Xenopus tropicalis: one gene and its partners. Each later gene encodes a partner of the first gene's protein in a complex. Links are inferred from orthologs where the notes say so. Each region holds a gene or a part of one and is shown on either strand. Other genes may lie near its edges.

Region 1 (3,568 bases):
CCTTCCTTTTACTACGACTAAATGACAGGCGCATGTGCAGTAGAGTGAAAAGCTGACTTCTCTGTTAAAGTTCGGCTTTTCACTCTACTGCGCATGCGCGTGCTAGCAAAGCAGGAAGGAGGAAGCGCTGCAGGTACCCCAGGTTGGTGCTGTTCTCTCCTAACAGGGGCACCAGCCCTGGGTAAGGGTAGGTGATTAAAGTCACTTGGGGGTGCCTAACATTTTGGCACCCCCAAGTGGCTTTGCCTTTCCTTCTCCTTTAACCATGTAGGTGTGTTAATTATGGCATTGCCATTGGAGACACTGAGGCTTAATACCTTGGCCATGTTCAGACAGCTGTGTTACATTTTCAGCTGTGTCTCAGGTCTTAATGGCAAGTTTGCCCAAATTACTGACATTCAGCTATGGCAATATTTAAATCCAATCTGCTTTATCTCAGGTTTAATGATTTTTTTATTTTTTTTCAACCCATTTGTTATGAGCTTATTACTATAGATGTATTCCTGTGTTAAGACTTTGCATTCTGTTCATGTTCATAGGCAATAGAACACACTTTTCACAGGAGAAGCATGGTTGTAGCGGATTCTGTATCACACATTACACAGCACCTCCAGCATCAAGCTCTTGCTGCCATTGCTGTTGCTAAGGTAGGGGTGGACTAATCAATTCATCTTTTAAAATGTCAACAATTCTCATCAGGAAACTTACCAGTTCTGACCAGTCTTTTCTTTATTCCCCCAGAAATCTACTAACTATTCTGGCATTGTGTGGATTTATTTTAAAGGTTTAATAATGTGTTTTTTTTAGGAGCAGTGTTTATATCAATATGTGACCAATAAAGCATATAGTGACTTTAGTGAGTTGCTTTGTGACAGCACAGCTTCACTTCATGCCATTGTGTCCCCCACACAAATTGTCTCAGCAATGACATGTGGGCAGTGAATAGAATGGTTTAGCTGCTCAGGCAGTGGGTGAGGGAAGCTGTGCTGTCCGCAGGACCCTATCCACTGGAGACCTCTCAAGGGATATTTTGTTTTATATTGTTCATTATTATCGTGTGTGTTTTTTCAGTGTGTTGAAATCAAATTACACAGCAGTGTTAAAATTAAGTTGGTAGTCCCTGATGCAAATACTTTACTAAATGTAGACCCCTACATTGGTTACATACATATATTTTTTCATTTTTGTTTATATCTCTTCTAATACAGAAAAGGGTTATTTCTGATAAGAAGTACAGTGAACAACGCTTAGACGTTCTTTCTGCCCTTGTATTGGCAGAGAATACTCTCAATGGTCCCAGTACAAGACAGAGAAGGCTCATTGTGTCATTAGCCCTAAGTGTGGGGACACAAATGGTAAGTTCCTCGAATGAATGATATCATTACCATTTGTGCTCTTTGTTTCACTGAACATCTGACTGAGAGAGATGCAGCATAGAGACAGAGAGATTGAAAGATAAAGGGATGGTAGTGTCCTGTAATTTATTATGTTGTATTTATATAACACTGATGCATTTATTCAGCTCTTTGCAGAAATTCTTCATCATTCTCGTAAGACCCTGCCCTAGTGAATCTTAACATCCTATTCACATAGCACACACACAGCTATCAATCTAACTGGCTGTATGGGAGTAGGAATAAACCCTGAAAAAGTAATGCTAACTAGTGAGTCACCTTGCTGCCTATGGGCCATGCCTTGGACAATGTGCAAGATCCAACAGTTTTTTATTTAATACGCAGCTTCTTATGGATGTCCAGAATGCAGTTATTCAGCTGTCACCATAAATGGTGAAATCGTTTATTCTCCTAATTAAAGGAGAAGGAAAGGCTAATAAAGAGTTAATCTCAAGCTGCAGGCATACCTTCAGTTCTCTCAATAGTGTCCTTAAATCTCCCCATATTTCACCTGTTCAGATGATCAGAAGCCAAACAGGAAAGAAAACGCTGAGCTATGTAAAGAAAGTTCCCATAATGCCTTGCTTCTGCACTGAGACCCAGACCAGTGTACATGCTCAGTTTGTAAGACTATGAGGAAGCTTCCTGCTGATTGGCTCAGATACACATTCCTAAGGGGGGGGAGTGAGTTCTTAGCATTCTAGAGGGAGGGGGGAGCAGGAGAGAGGAGAGAGCTGCGTGTCTCTGGCAGAGGAAAACAGACACAACATCTTTTGACAGATAACTCAGTGCATCGTTTCTGTGAATGCTTATGGCTGTATTTACTTAGACCTTTCTGATAAAGCTTACTTAGTTTTTACCTTTCTTTCTCCTTTAATGTAGTTGCACTCTCTGTACCTTTTACAATTCTTTTACTAAAGCTTTACCTTCATAATTAAGGTGTCTAAGCTATGATTTATATGAGCCATACTGTTAGATATAGAATCTGTATAGCTTGTCTGGTTTTAGCAAGCTAGCATGGTCACATAAAGCTAGTTCTTTTCATTCTACTCCACACAGTAAAACCAAAAGACGAGTGATTTACTTTTTCATTGTGAAAAATGGCTGTCTATAGATTTCTGCATTATTGTACCTTTATAGAAAACCTTTAAAGATGAAGAGCTTCTCCCACTTTTGCTTGTAATGAAGAAACTGGACTTAATAAGCGAGTTAAGAGAAAGGTAAGGAAGCGTCAGTAACTAAATGTATATCAAGACTAACGTTAAACTGCTTTATCGGAATACGCCTGTATATCTGCATGATAATTGTTGTGCCTGCAATTAAATTTCTAATTACAAAATGTAGGAGAAGCCATTTTATACATTTCTTTTGGTTAGTAGTTCAAGGGCAAGGGCAAACAAATTAAGTGAGTATAGCAGATGATCCACCTTCATGTGCCATTCAAAAGAGAGGCTACTGGCACACAAAGTCAAGGAGGACTAGCCCATAACTTTTTATTATGCCAAAACTATACAATGTTTCGGGGGAGAACACCCATGAAAACACTGTGTGGTTTTGGCATAATAAAAAGTTAGGGGCTAGTTTCCCTTGGATCAGCTTTGTGTGGTAGTGCCAGAAATACTGAGCACCAAGCATACAGTACAGAGGCCTGGGTGTGTGTGTGGGTGTTTTCTGCCTTCATGTTCTACATATCCTATAACTAGAGTTCATGCAGTTTGTTGTTTTTTATGGAAAACTATGCACTAGTTTATTTTTTTTTTATTAGGTATTTTTCTACCAAAGTCCATCAAGTTCAACCCTTCCAAGTGAACCCCAGCATATACATAAACCTATCCTGACCTATCCATGCATTCACATACATAAACCATACATACTAACATCAAGATTTTAGTATCACAATAGCCTTGGATATTATGCTTGTTCAAGAAATCATCCAGGCATTAACAGAATCTGCCATCACAACATCACTAGGGCATTCCCCAACCTCACTGCTCTCATTATCTAATCTAAAGGGGTGGCCTCTGGTGCACTGATCATTTTTTTCCTCAGTAACTTTTTGTGCTGTACTGTATCAAATGCTTCAGCAAAGCCCAAGTAGATGACATCCATTGCCATCCCAGCATTGAGGTTCCTGCTCGCCTCCTCATAAAAGGCAATTAAGGGCTGTGACACAC
Region 2 (4,127 bases), about 1.2 Mb from region 1:
AAACATACCACACAAGTACATACCTTTGCTTCCAAAATATTAAGGGTTGTTTCAATCTGCTGAATACGTAGGGACAAGGCAGAAAGTTTCTAAAACAATAAAAACAAAGTACCAACATTAAAGGTCTAAATAATGGACATATTCTGTAGCTCTGTGAGGGGTAAATAATCAAAGATGCAAATTAAATAGGATCACTGGCCTATGCAGCATATAGAGAAGACCCTGTTCATATGGGCAATGTAATGTAAGCTCCCACCAAGCCCGTGCAGCCATTAAATTACCTGAAAGCCCCAAAATGTACATGTACTGAGATTTCAAACGATAACATTTACCATAACATTCTCTCATCTGAACAGTGCAAGCTGCAATAGACTAAGTAGCACTTGGTTTCCAGTCAATGCTGTAGAAAAGAGGGAAAGCTAGAACACGCTAGGAATACAGTACCTCTTCACAAACTGTAGCAAACCGGTTAAGGAACTGAACAGAGTGCACAACAAACTGGTTCAAAAATGCCACTGTTCTTTTCTGCTGAATAGGTGGGACCTAGGGTTTATTAAATAAAAGAAAAAAGGTCAGTATACTGCATTTGCAAAAGGTATAGAACACAGTGCAAGCAACGGATATTAGTTTGAACAGGTATATAAAGGGTTCATTCATCCAGGCCATGGAAAACAATACCTAGTTGTGTTAAATCTAAAGCAACTTGAATTAGAAGCTCCTCCGATGAGTGGTGAAATGTTTAATAGAACTAGCCTACTAATGACAAACTGAAAGGCTTTTTGACCAAGGCAATATTTCCAAAACTCTAATCAGAATAACTCTATGGGGCCTGGCACATAATGACCAGCAGAGGCACTTTTGCAGTTCTGAAGTTACAGCTGCCTGCATCTTTGCAGGGCTCCTTGCTCGAGGATGACAAGATGTAAAGATGGCCATACACAACATATTTAAGCTGCTAATTCGGATCCTTTAGACCGAGCTTATCTGCCTGTGTATTGGGACAGGACTCCCCGATCATTAATGCGGTACTTGCTCCAACTTCTCATATCCCGTTCATTTTAATGTAATCTTTTGGCCCTAGGGCCAAACAATCACATTAGCACAATATCACCCGCTCAAGGTGAGCATATCCGGGGAAAGATTCACTTGTTAAGCGACGCCATCATACAAGTGAATTTTACCATGTATGGCCACCTTTACACAGCTGAACAATCGGGGTTAGTTAGTGCACATCATTGAGACACACCTTTAAAAAGAGTGGATATTGAGGGAAGGATTTAATAGTTTGCAATGAAAAGAGATTTTATCCAATTCTCCATAGGGTAACTAAACTTAAAAGTGTGAGTTCAAACAAATGCCATAGAATTATTCCACAATCCTGAAGATACAGAAGCCCAGTTAATTAGGATATCTCACTCTGCAGCCCATGGCTGACGGCCGTGTATACTAGCTGTGTGTATACACTTCTAACCAGAGTCCTCTGCACAACAGCAAAGGACAGTTATGTCTACAGGATTAATCAAAAAATAATAGTGGGTAGAAGGGCTTCGCTGTTAACAGGGATGCTGTATCCCTGGGATTATTAAGCAGCAGTATGACATAATAAAGCCCTTTGAAAAACACATTTTTAAGACCTTAAGCCAGCGGAGATGTTTTATAAACGGAAGAGGCAATGTACTTCAGTGTTAAGATGAAGACACACAGAGCTATTAGTAGCAGCTACTTGTCGTGGCTACTGTCTCTACGTATGTTTTAGCAGGGGCAATTCTCGGTATTGTCTAAGGCTGGGTATTTTCTGGCATTTAGTAGCCTTGACAAGTAGCTGCTACTAAGTAGCTCTGTGTGCCTTCACCGTTATTGTCTATGGCAAGGTATTTTCTGGAGTTTAGTAGCTGTGAAAAAGTAGCTGCTACTAGTAGCTCAGTGTGACTTCACCCTTAATGAGAGGGCTACTGCTTCTGAAGTACGCAAATGTGATTAAAATAGTTGTAGAGGCTACTGCATTATTTCCACCACTCTGTGTTAAAAAGACACCTGCATGTGATTTTTTGGGTGTAAGTTTGCTGTGCCTGTTGATGCAGCTCACAATGGGAACCCTGGAATTACGGCCACCTGCAAGCTAGAGGTAGCACTAGGGTTCCCCTGCATCATTAGATGCACAGACAGGCACAAGGTTACTTAGTTCAAATATAAGCAAGTGCACAAATACCTTTAATGAATCTCTTAATGATTGCATCCTTGATTAGCACCATCACAACTGCAGCCATAAACAAGCCCGATTGTGTCTGAGTCTGAATGGAGCTGACCAATGCTTTCGTGGAAATGGCTTTTTTTGAAACACATGATGTATGTGCCATTAAGGAAAAGCCTAGCCACAATTTGAACAACTGGACATCTTTACAGCAAGTGTAACACCACAAAGCACTATGAAACATCAGCTACAGACAAGTGCAGTAACAGTAAATAATCAAGTATATGGGACAGCAGGTCAGTTAAGACAGGAGCCATATGGATATGCTAAGAACATTACAGTACCAATATCATGACTGCACAGTAAATAAAATGAATGAATACACAGTAAAAGTGTAACTTGCCTTCCCTTAATGACTACAGGTTAGTGTAGAGCTGACTGACTAGAAAAATGCACATGAACACACATTACAATACACATTAAATCTGCCCATTCCCCTTCACTTCCCCCTAAAAGACGCACCTTAGTGAGGTCAATCCCAGAGCCCACTATAGGCAGCCCGTCTTCATCCATCAGCCCAGCTCCCCTTGCTCACTGCACTACCTTGTGTTGTGACATGGTCTGTCATGTGATTCCTTCCGTACCATAGAGAAGACTGAAGCCAGAGCGGCACACAGAACCTCTCTTGCTTATAAAACCTCCATGGCTAAAGTTGCTGCTGGCTTAATAATGATTCAGTGACTACAGAACTGCTTCTGTTTCCGACGTATTCATGTGACTAACGCCACTCAAAGCACTTGCTTTTTAGACTTAACCCACTCAATGCCAGATGAGTTTCTTAATTCGTTTGTATTAGTAGGCAGCAGATTGCAGCTTTTGAGCAGGAAGGGAAGTGCAGTAACAAATGAACTGGTTATGGGTGCCGCAAACTCTTTTGTACAGGGAGCATAATGTGTCGCCTCAGCCCTCTCCTGCTGGCTGCAGGGTTGTTGGTTTTTTTTTAATTATTATTACAAACCTTGTATTCAGTGGCTGCTCAATTTTTTTACTTTTATAAAAGTATATTATAGAAGGGACCTGGGCAGAGGTGTTTTACCTATAATGCCACCCTGAGACCATTTTTTTTTTTTTTGCATCAGAAGGGGCTAGTGCATCGCTATCACAGAGAGCACAGTAGCACTTTTTGCACTAGATAGGGTTGCCACCTTAAGCTGGCCATACACGTGGCGACCATCGGTCGCACGAAACATCGTCAGATCCGCCACACACCATTCAGGGCTGAATCGGCAGGTAAGGAGGTAGAAACAATAGGATTTCTACCTCCTGCCGATTCAGCGCTGAAGGGAGATTTTGGTCAGGCGCCTTCTATGGCGCCCGATCAAAATGTTCAAACTGGTCCGATCAGCGAGTTGGCCGTTATCAGCAGCTTCTTGCGATATCGGTCGACTCGCCGACATACCATACACGCACCGAATATTGTAAGTTTGAGGTTTTATTGTTTAAGGATTACCAGAGAAAAAAACTGCTGTTTCACTTGTGCTACTTTTAAAACTGGCACCAATAGTATTGGCCCATATCCATGGGTCAGGCAAAAAGTATACAGAGAAAAATAACTAATATAAAGTAAAATAGAGAAAACAAAAACAAAAGCCATAGTTGTCCCTTTAGGGTCCATATGACTAACTAGCAAAGCAAAGTACCATAATGTGACTGTTCTATCTGCCTATTCTATAAATTCACATTTGTTATGTCACAGGTGGCTTACTTTCATGCTTTTTGGAAAACTGAAGTGTTATAAGGAGCTCTTGATATAGTTTACTAACAGTAAAATATGGTGGTAGTAACATATTGGTGTGGGGTCTGCTTTTCTTTATGGCCGTGGTAGACGGGGAGATTAGTCGCCCGCGACAAAAAGATAACTGAGGCATGGGCAAAT
Region 3 (3,568 bases), on another chromosome or scaffold:
GGGTCACATAATGCACTGCAATATGAGAAGAATTCCTTGGTAGACTTGGCCTTCCCCCTAATGTATTGCACCCCTCTGCTTTGTTCTCCCAATAGTATCAGCATATTGATACGCTCCATTTTAGTAGTAGAGTTAAAACCCATTACTATCTGTGAATGAATTCACTAGCTATTCAGTTCAGCTGCAGGCAGATGCATCAGTATTATCTGCTGTAATTATACCTAACGTACTGTTTAGTAATATAGAAACTACATTATCTAAAGATATCCTTTTATCTAAAAAGTGCCATGTGATGTCAGCCAGAGCTAATATGTCACTGTGCAACTGTACCAACAGTCTGTACTATTTATAACAGGGAATTTGTGTTGTCTCTTTAAACCACACTTATAATGGTATGTGCCTGTTTTCATATTGTAAGTTTTTGATATTCTCCTGTGCTTAAACCATTGCCAGCAATCATTAATTAGCACTGTGCACATAAGGAATATGTGAGAAATCTTAATCTTTGTTTAACTTGGTCTTCATAGGTGGATCCAAAGCAGCTTTTGGAGGATGGGATCAGGAAGGAGTTGGTTAAAAGAGTTGCTGTTGCTCTACACAAAGGGCTTATCTTCAACTCCAGAGCAAAGGTAGAACTGCAGAGTGGTCTGTGCTTTATTTCATTTGATTACAATGCGCACAGAATAGAATGAAAGGGCAGTACAGTACAGCACAGTACCTCTCACACTCAGTGACATTCCCCTGGAGATTGCCTCTCAAGCCTTACATGTATCTTATCTGATCTAGGTATTTAATAGGAATCCTCCCATGGGGGGAACTACACTGTCATAATATACCGGTCACATTCAGCTGTGCTGGATTATAGCAACAAAGGGGTATTTAAAGGGGCAAAACCAGCAAGTTAGGTTTATCATGAACTACAAAAAATAGGACTTTTGTTTAAAACCTCTCTTGCCTGTTCCTTTTATGGAAAAAAAAATTGCATTTTCTTGTAGCCCAGCGAACTGCTGCCAAAGCTGAAAGACATGGCTGCCACCATGGATGGATTCCATCGCTCCTTCGAGTACATACAAGACTACGTCAGCATTTATGGCTTGAAAATTTGGCAGGAGGAAGTATCCCGTATTGTTAATTACAACGTAGAACAGGAATGCAACAACTTCCTAAGAACAAAGGTACCGTGGCAGCTTTACAGTACTAAAGGAAATAACCGTTTGTGTATTTTACTTTGTAATTAAATAGGATATTTACAAACACATAGACATTTGAAAATAGTTGTCGAGGTTATAAAAAAAGATTCATATCACTCAAATTCAAACCCTCAGGGTGATGGCTCATTGGGCATGGATCCGCTCCTATAGGCTCCTGTGTGTCGCCACCCTGACAGACACAGCGGCCTGAGTGTAGCTAAATAGAGTTGAGATCGGCCCAAGAAAGCATGCTTTCAGATTTTTTAGGCCAAAAATCGCTCTATGTAACTGCAGTCAGGCCAATTCTGTGTCTGTCAGTGCAGCTACACACAGGAGCCTATAGGAACGGAACTACTTTTCTCTGCCTCCCTACAAAATACAGACAGGAAGAAAAGGACTGTATGCCAGTTTGTGATCACCCTTATAGGGAATAATTATTGTGGCATTATATCCTGCAACTTAGACCATTTACCACTGATACAGAATTATTGACATAGAAATGACCCAGTGTTTTTGATCACTTGCAATTCTATATCCAACAGATTCAAGACTGGCAGAGCATGTATCAGTCAACTCACATCCCTATTCCCAAATTTCCTCCTGTGGATGAATCAATGACGTTTATAGGACGTCTGTGTCGGGAAATCCTGAGAATTACTGATCCGAAGTAAGTAGCCAAATAAAATGTTTTTTTCACTATGAGAAAGCATTCCCCTTTTATAAATGTGTGTTTTACCCCTTTGTGTGCACGGCAGGGTTACGTGTTACATAGATCAGATGAACACGTGGTACGACATGAAAACTCACCAGGAAGTCACTAATAACCACCTCTTCTCAGAGATCAACGATTCACTGGGAACTTTTGGCTTAAATGGCTTGGACAGGTTACTTTGCTTTATGATAGTGAAGGAACTGCAGGTTTGTACCACCAGAGGGCGCACAATTATAGAGACCTTCGCATTTAAGCTTTAAAACTGTAATGTTAGATACAGGGTCGGACTGTACTAGTTACTTGAAATTACTAGAATTTACAACCCCAAATATTAGTAGGTTGACATGATATATATTGAAATTGCTCATTAATTAGGGACTCACTGGGACCACTAAACCACTGAGCCCCCCTGCAACTGCAGGGTCTGCTTCCTCTGTAGTTATGCCCCGGTGACCAGTAAATGGTTCCTGCTGATTGTATTTCATAATAAGGTTTATGACACCTACACTATTACAGTAGGATATTGATTCCATTGGGCAACAATAAAGACATGAATGTAATGCTAAAGTGTGTGCTTATTGCAGTGGCTGTGAATGAAGTCACAGGGTTGTTCTCTTTCAGAACTTCATCCTCTTGTATCAGAGGTTAATTCTGAGGGATAAAAGTGCCCAGGAGACATTACGGGCCTTACAGAAGGTAGTTACTCCAGTTAAAGGGATTGTAGGTAAGTGCTTTATTACTGATGTAATACTAGTTTCTGACAAGGCAGATTGTAATGCTGATAGCCCTGAGATTGTGGCCCTTCACTAGGGCTATAGTACTGGCGCTATTATGACTGTGTTCCAGTTATGTATAGGCTCCCGAACTGTGAGTAAATTCAGTGTTAATTGCAATGTGTTATTAGTATTTGAGACAGTAGAATGGGCCCTCTCCTGCTAAAAGGGAATTGTTGTCAGGTTTGGAACATAGGCATAATTACTATCCCAGGATAGTAGGATGTAATTTGGGAGTGAATATACATCTTGGATATAGAGTATTATGGCCAATACAAGTACATTTATAAGCACAGGAAGGCCCTCACCAAATTTTGTTTCATGTAGGGGCAGAGTTGTGTGTAGTTTTACAACATAAGAAGCTTTTCCTCAGTGGCTGTTTATAAGGCATTGTATGTTAACCCTAAGCATGATACATATATTCATTATTTTATACAGCTAATTCTGCCAAAATATACTCTGCTGCCATTGCAAAAACCCAGAAAATCTGGCCTGCTTATCTTGATGCTATAATGAAGGTAGGTAAAGGAATACTAGTTCCGAAGATTATTTGAGCGGGGGCAATTTCAGTGCTGCCAGAGATCTCAGGATTCTGGGAGTTTTCATTCAGTGACTGCTGTAATGTTATCATCATGGTCATCAATTTGTAGAGCGGATATGAGCTGCTTCATCTTAACTTTATCCTTCTGCTTTTACAGGTTGGACAGATGCAAGTGTTAAGACAACAGATTGCCAATGAGTTAAACTACTCGTGTAAATTTGACTCTAAGCACCTGGCAGGAGCCCTAGAGAACTTTAATGAGTAAGAGCTTAAACCTTCATCTAACTGTGATAAATACTGTACCCCTCTGGGACTCTAGGGGGCCATCAACCCCCCAACCAAACCCAGTGCT
Region 4 (3,568 bases), about 40 Mb from region 1:
GGATCAGATAGGATCTGTGCCACTGTGACAGAATGCTCTGTTATACAGATAGCTAGAATCTCAGCCATAAAGCAGGGCAGGACTGCTGCTTACAATGGGGGGATCAGATAGGATCTGTGCCACTGTGACAGAATGCTCTGTTATACAGATAGCTAGGACTGCCCTGATTCTATATTAAAATGTTCTCAAAGCTCCTCTAATAACTGAGTATATAACAAGTCCCCTTTTAAGTGCTTCTATAACTGATCAGGTTAATAGGAGATCTTGCCATGTTTAGACCTTGTCAGTGCCCTGAATATCCCCTCTATACACAATGCTAATCTAACGCGCACATCCCCACGCTGCCTAATAGTTCCATTTCACAGCCGATAGGCGCTGCACCCTCTCCGAGCCATTATCAGCGGAAAACAGTAGTTACTCTACAGAGGCCCCACAGCCAGATACTGTTGAACCCATCCAAGTGTGGCCTTCAGCTGTCACAGCGCTGATCTGTTCCTGGCAGCCCAGAGGGAACTTTCTTGGCTTTGGAGCCCTTGTCAATCTTTATTGCTTACAGACTATTAAAGCAGCCATGCGCAAGGGCGTTTTTAACTCTTCACTCACCCTGTTCCTGCTCCTTCATCTTCTTCTTCTCTAGCTTTTTCTCCTTCACATTACGCAGTTTGGCTTTCCCAATGCCCCCAGCCTGGCGGATGGACTCCAGCAAGGATGCTCTTCCGTCAGAGGGATTGACCACTTCTTTGGGAGCCCCCTGTAGAGAACCTAAGGGAACCCAATGCGGTTGGGGCCTGGATGAGTTTTTAGTTAGATGTTCCAGAACAATGGCATTGTATAGAAGGCTGAAACGGCTAAAGGCAATAACAACTTTAAATATACCATAACATTTTTGAAGTCCAAAGATGTCATCTTACCTGGGTCTCCAACATCGCTGCTGCCAACCCTGGCAGGGGCAGGTATAGGCAAAGGTGGGGCCAGAGATGTAGGGGGCGACAGGACACTGGGTTCAGGAGGGGGTGGGGGAGGTGGAGGAGGAGGGGGTGGCGGCGGAGGTGGGAGAAGTCGACCATCCTGACTGTCTGAAAAAGATAAATATTCTATCTTTTAGGAATAATCCAGCAGTTCTCGTCATGTTATCCACAATAAACATGACGAACGCCTGTGTGATCTTCTACATACATTTAAAAGCCCAGCTTGAAGGTCATTTTTGCTTGGATCTGTGAAGACCACTTACCTCTGGGGGGGGCCTCGAGCATAGAGGGGTAGCTTATCCTAAAGGCCAGTTGTAATATCTAGATCTACAATGCCTATTCGCATTCCCACATGCACATAGAAGCCCAGCTTGATGGTCAGTAAGGGTGAAATTTGGGGGAGAAGACTTATTTTCTGCCCTATATACTCCTTAAGGTCCCCATACATGGGCCCATAATAGCTGCAGATATGGGTCCCTTAGACTGATTCGGCAGCTTATCGGCCCGTGTAGGGGCACTACCGACGGGCCTGTCCAACCGATCTCTGGCTTGAAATCGGCCTGATCTCGATCAGGCAGGTTACAAAATCTAGTCGGATCGGGGACCACATCGGCTCGTTGATGCGGTCCCCGGACCGACTTTGCCTATACCCATCATTATAATTCGATCGTTTGGCCCCAGGGCCAAACAATCGAATTACCCTGGATTCTCCTGATATCGCCCACCCGTAGGTTGGGGATATCAGGAGAAGATCCGCTTGCTTGGCGACATCGCCAAGCGAGCTGATCTACCCATGTATGGGGACCTTTAAGGTGGCCATACACCAAGGTCGCCAAGTGAGCGGATCTTCTCCCGATATCCCTACCTACGGGTGGGCGATATTGGGCTAATTCAGGCTAATTTGTTCGTTTGGCCCTGGGGCCAAACGGTCGTATTAGAATGCCCGTAATAGGCGCAGTCGGTTCAGGGATCGCATCAACAAGCCAATGCGTTCACCGATCCGACTAAATTTTTAAACCTGCCTAATTGATATCTGCCCGATTTCAGGCCAGATATCGGTCGGGCAGGCCCGTCGGTAGTGCCCATACACGGGCCGATAAGCTGCCGAATCGGTCCAAGGGACCCATATCAGCAGCTACAAACGGCCTGTGTATGGGGACCTTTAGAACTATGGCCGATTGGCTGATACACCCTGCTCTCCTAAACCTGTAACCTTGATAAGTGCTAAAGGTGGTCCTGACCAAAGTTTAGACCTTCAATAGAAGCTTAAACTGAAAAGGTCCACCTTACAGTCTGGGAATAAAGTCACCTGTCCTAGAGTTTTCTGTGATGTCCTCTGTGATGAAGGTTGGAAGCTCGGGGATAGGAACTCCAGGTGCAGAAGGAGCGATGCCAGGCCCAAGGTCGGCGCTGTACATGAGATCATCAGCCACCCCCGGCAGGTCCGGCAGAGAGTACGGGACATCTATTTCGGGAACCTGCCCAAGGTCTGGGACATAGAAGTAGTTCTCCGCAGTCTAAAGGGAAAGGAGTTGTCTATGTTAACCGGAGTTCGCCTTTTGGAACATCAAGTGACCAACTGCCTTACCTGTCGCTCCAGCTGTTCCCTCTTCGTGATGGAAAGGGGTGCATCGAAAAGCTTCTCCTCATCCTCTCCTTCTAATGCCGGGTTGGTACGAGTCACGACCCCAGCAAGTGGGTCAAGGAACACGTACTTCTTATAGCTGTTAATAGGGGTGATACAATGAGAGGACTTTGATTGACCTTGATCATATTCCACCATTTGTGGTACCAGATCCCTACACCTTCCTATAGAGAACCATTTCTAAGGTCCATCTCAGTAAGTAGTACACCACTCCCAAGCCCTGAGCCCCCCTCTCCCATGTTCCAACCACATTCCCAGTTCCAGGAACCAAAGCCACCAACCATTTGGAGATTCATCAACCTATTCTACAGGGCAGTGCCAATGTACCCCAGGCATCACTTGGTTTAATACATTCATTATCCTTATGGACTTACAGATTCTCTGTTGTGTTGAAAAGGAGCAAGGAGCTGACAGAACTGATGTTTCTGGGGAGGCTGCCCAACCCTTCTTCTGCGCTCTCCTCATCTTGCCCTCTTGTATTCACGCACACTGGGAAATACTTCAGTTTTTCCTGGAGAAGATAATAAAGAAACTACTAATGCAACAACAATTCCTCCATTGTTGTCTCCCTGGTAATCTGATCCCCATTGTAAGCAGCAACCCTGCCCTGCTTTATGGCTGAGATTCTAGCTATCTGTATAACAGAGCATTCTGTCACAGTGGCACAGATCCTATCTGATCCCCCTCCATTGTAAGCAGCAGTCCTGCCCTGCTTTATGGCTGAGATTCTAGCTATCTGTATAACAGAGCATTCTGTCACAGTGGCACAGATCCTATCTGATCCTCCCATTGTAAGCAGCAGTCCTGCCCTGCTTTATGGCTGAGATTCTAGCTATCTGTATAACAGAGCATTCTGTCACAGTGGCACAGATCCTATATGATCCCCCCCATTGTAAGCAGCAGTCCTGCCCTGCTTTATGGCTGAGATTCTAGCTATCTGTATAACAGAGCATTC

Evidence for each region.
Region 2: washc4 (region 1) and washc3 share a complex: the UniProt entries of both Homo sapiens proteins name them as parts of the WASH core complex. The link is inferred for Xenopus tropicalis from reciprocal best matches to the Homo sapiens genes WASHC4 and WASHC3.
Region 3: washc4 (region 1) and washc5 share a complex: the UniProt entries of both Homo sapiens proteins name them as parts of the WASH core complex. The link is inferred for Xenopus tropicalis from reciprocal best matches to the Homo sapiens genes WASHC4 and WASHC5.
Region 4: washc4 (region 1) and washc1 share a complex: the UniProt entries of both Homo sapiens proteins name them as parts of the WASH core complex. The link is inferred for Xenopus tropicalis from reciprocal best matches to the Homo sapiens genes WASHC4 and WASHC1.

The regions. Positions count from the first base shown.
Region 1 is NC_030679.2:50,296,251-50,299,818, forward strand, and holds part of washc4 (WASH complex subunit 4), read left to right. Parts: intron 1-539; coding exon 540-647; intron 648-1,208; coding exon 1,209-1,355; intron 1,356-2,534; coding exon 2,535-2,614; intron 2,615-3,568. UniProt on the Homo sapiens protein: Acts as a component of the WASH core complex that functions as a nucleation-promoting factor (NPF) at the surface of endosomes, where it recruits and activates the Arp2/3 complex to induce actin polymerization, playing a key role in the fission of tubules that serve as transport intermediates during endosome sorting.
Region 2 is NC_030679.2:49,099,110-49,103,236, forward strand, and holds the start of washc3 (WASH complex subunit CCDC53), read right to left. Parts: upstream 2,832-4,127; 5' UTR 2,765-2,831; coding exon 2,714-2,764; intron 544-2,713; coding exon 445-543; intron 90-444; coding exon 24-89; intron 1-23. UniProt on the Homo sapiens protein: Acts as a component of the WASH core complex that functions as a nucleation-promoting factor (NPF) at the surface of endosomes, where it recruits and activates the Arp2/3 complex to induce actin polymerization, playing a key role in the fission of tubules that serve as transport intermediates during endosome sorting.
Region 3 is NC_030682.2:140,395,646-140,399,213, reverse strand, and holds part of washc5 (WASH complex subunit 5), read left to right. Parts: intron 1-527; coding exon 528-629; intron 630-995; coding exon 996-1,175; intron 1,176-1,732; coding exon 1,733-1,857; intron 1,858-1,945; coding exon 1,946-2,108; intron 2,109-2,523; coding exon 2,524-2,626; intron 2,627-3,113; coding exon 3,114-3,193; intron 3,194-3,373; coding exon 3,374-3,477; intron 3,478-3,568. UniProt on the Homo sapiens protein: Acts as a component of the WASH core complex that functions as a nucleation-promoting factor (NPF) at the surface of endosomes, where it recruits and activates the Arp2/3 complex to induce actin polymerization, playing a key role in the fission of tubules that serve as transport intermediates during endosome sorting.
Region 4 is NC_030679.2:10,194,600-10,198,167, reverse strand, and holds part of washc1 (WASH complex subunit 1), read right to left. Parts: intron 3,125-3,568; coding exon 2,988-3,124; intron 2,693-2,987; coding exon 2,557-2,692; intron 2,486-2,556; coding exon 2,278-2,485; intron 1,077-2,277; coding exon 912-1,076; intron 763-911; coding exon 604-762; intron 1-603. UniProt on the Homo sapiens protein: Acts as a component of the WASH core complex that functions as a nucleation-promoting factor (NPF) at the surface of endosomes, where it recruits and activates the Arp2/3 complex to induce actin polymerization, playing a key role in the fission of tubules that serve as transport intermediates during endosome sorting.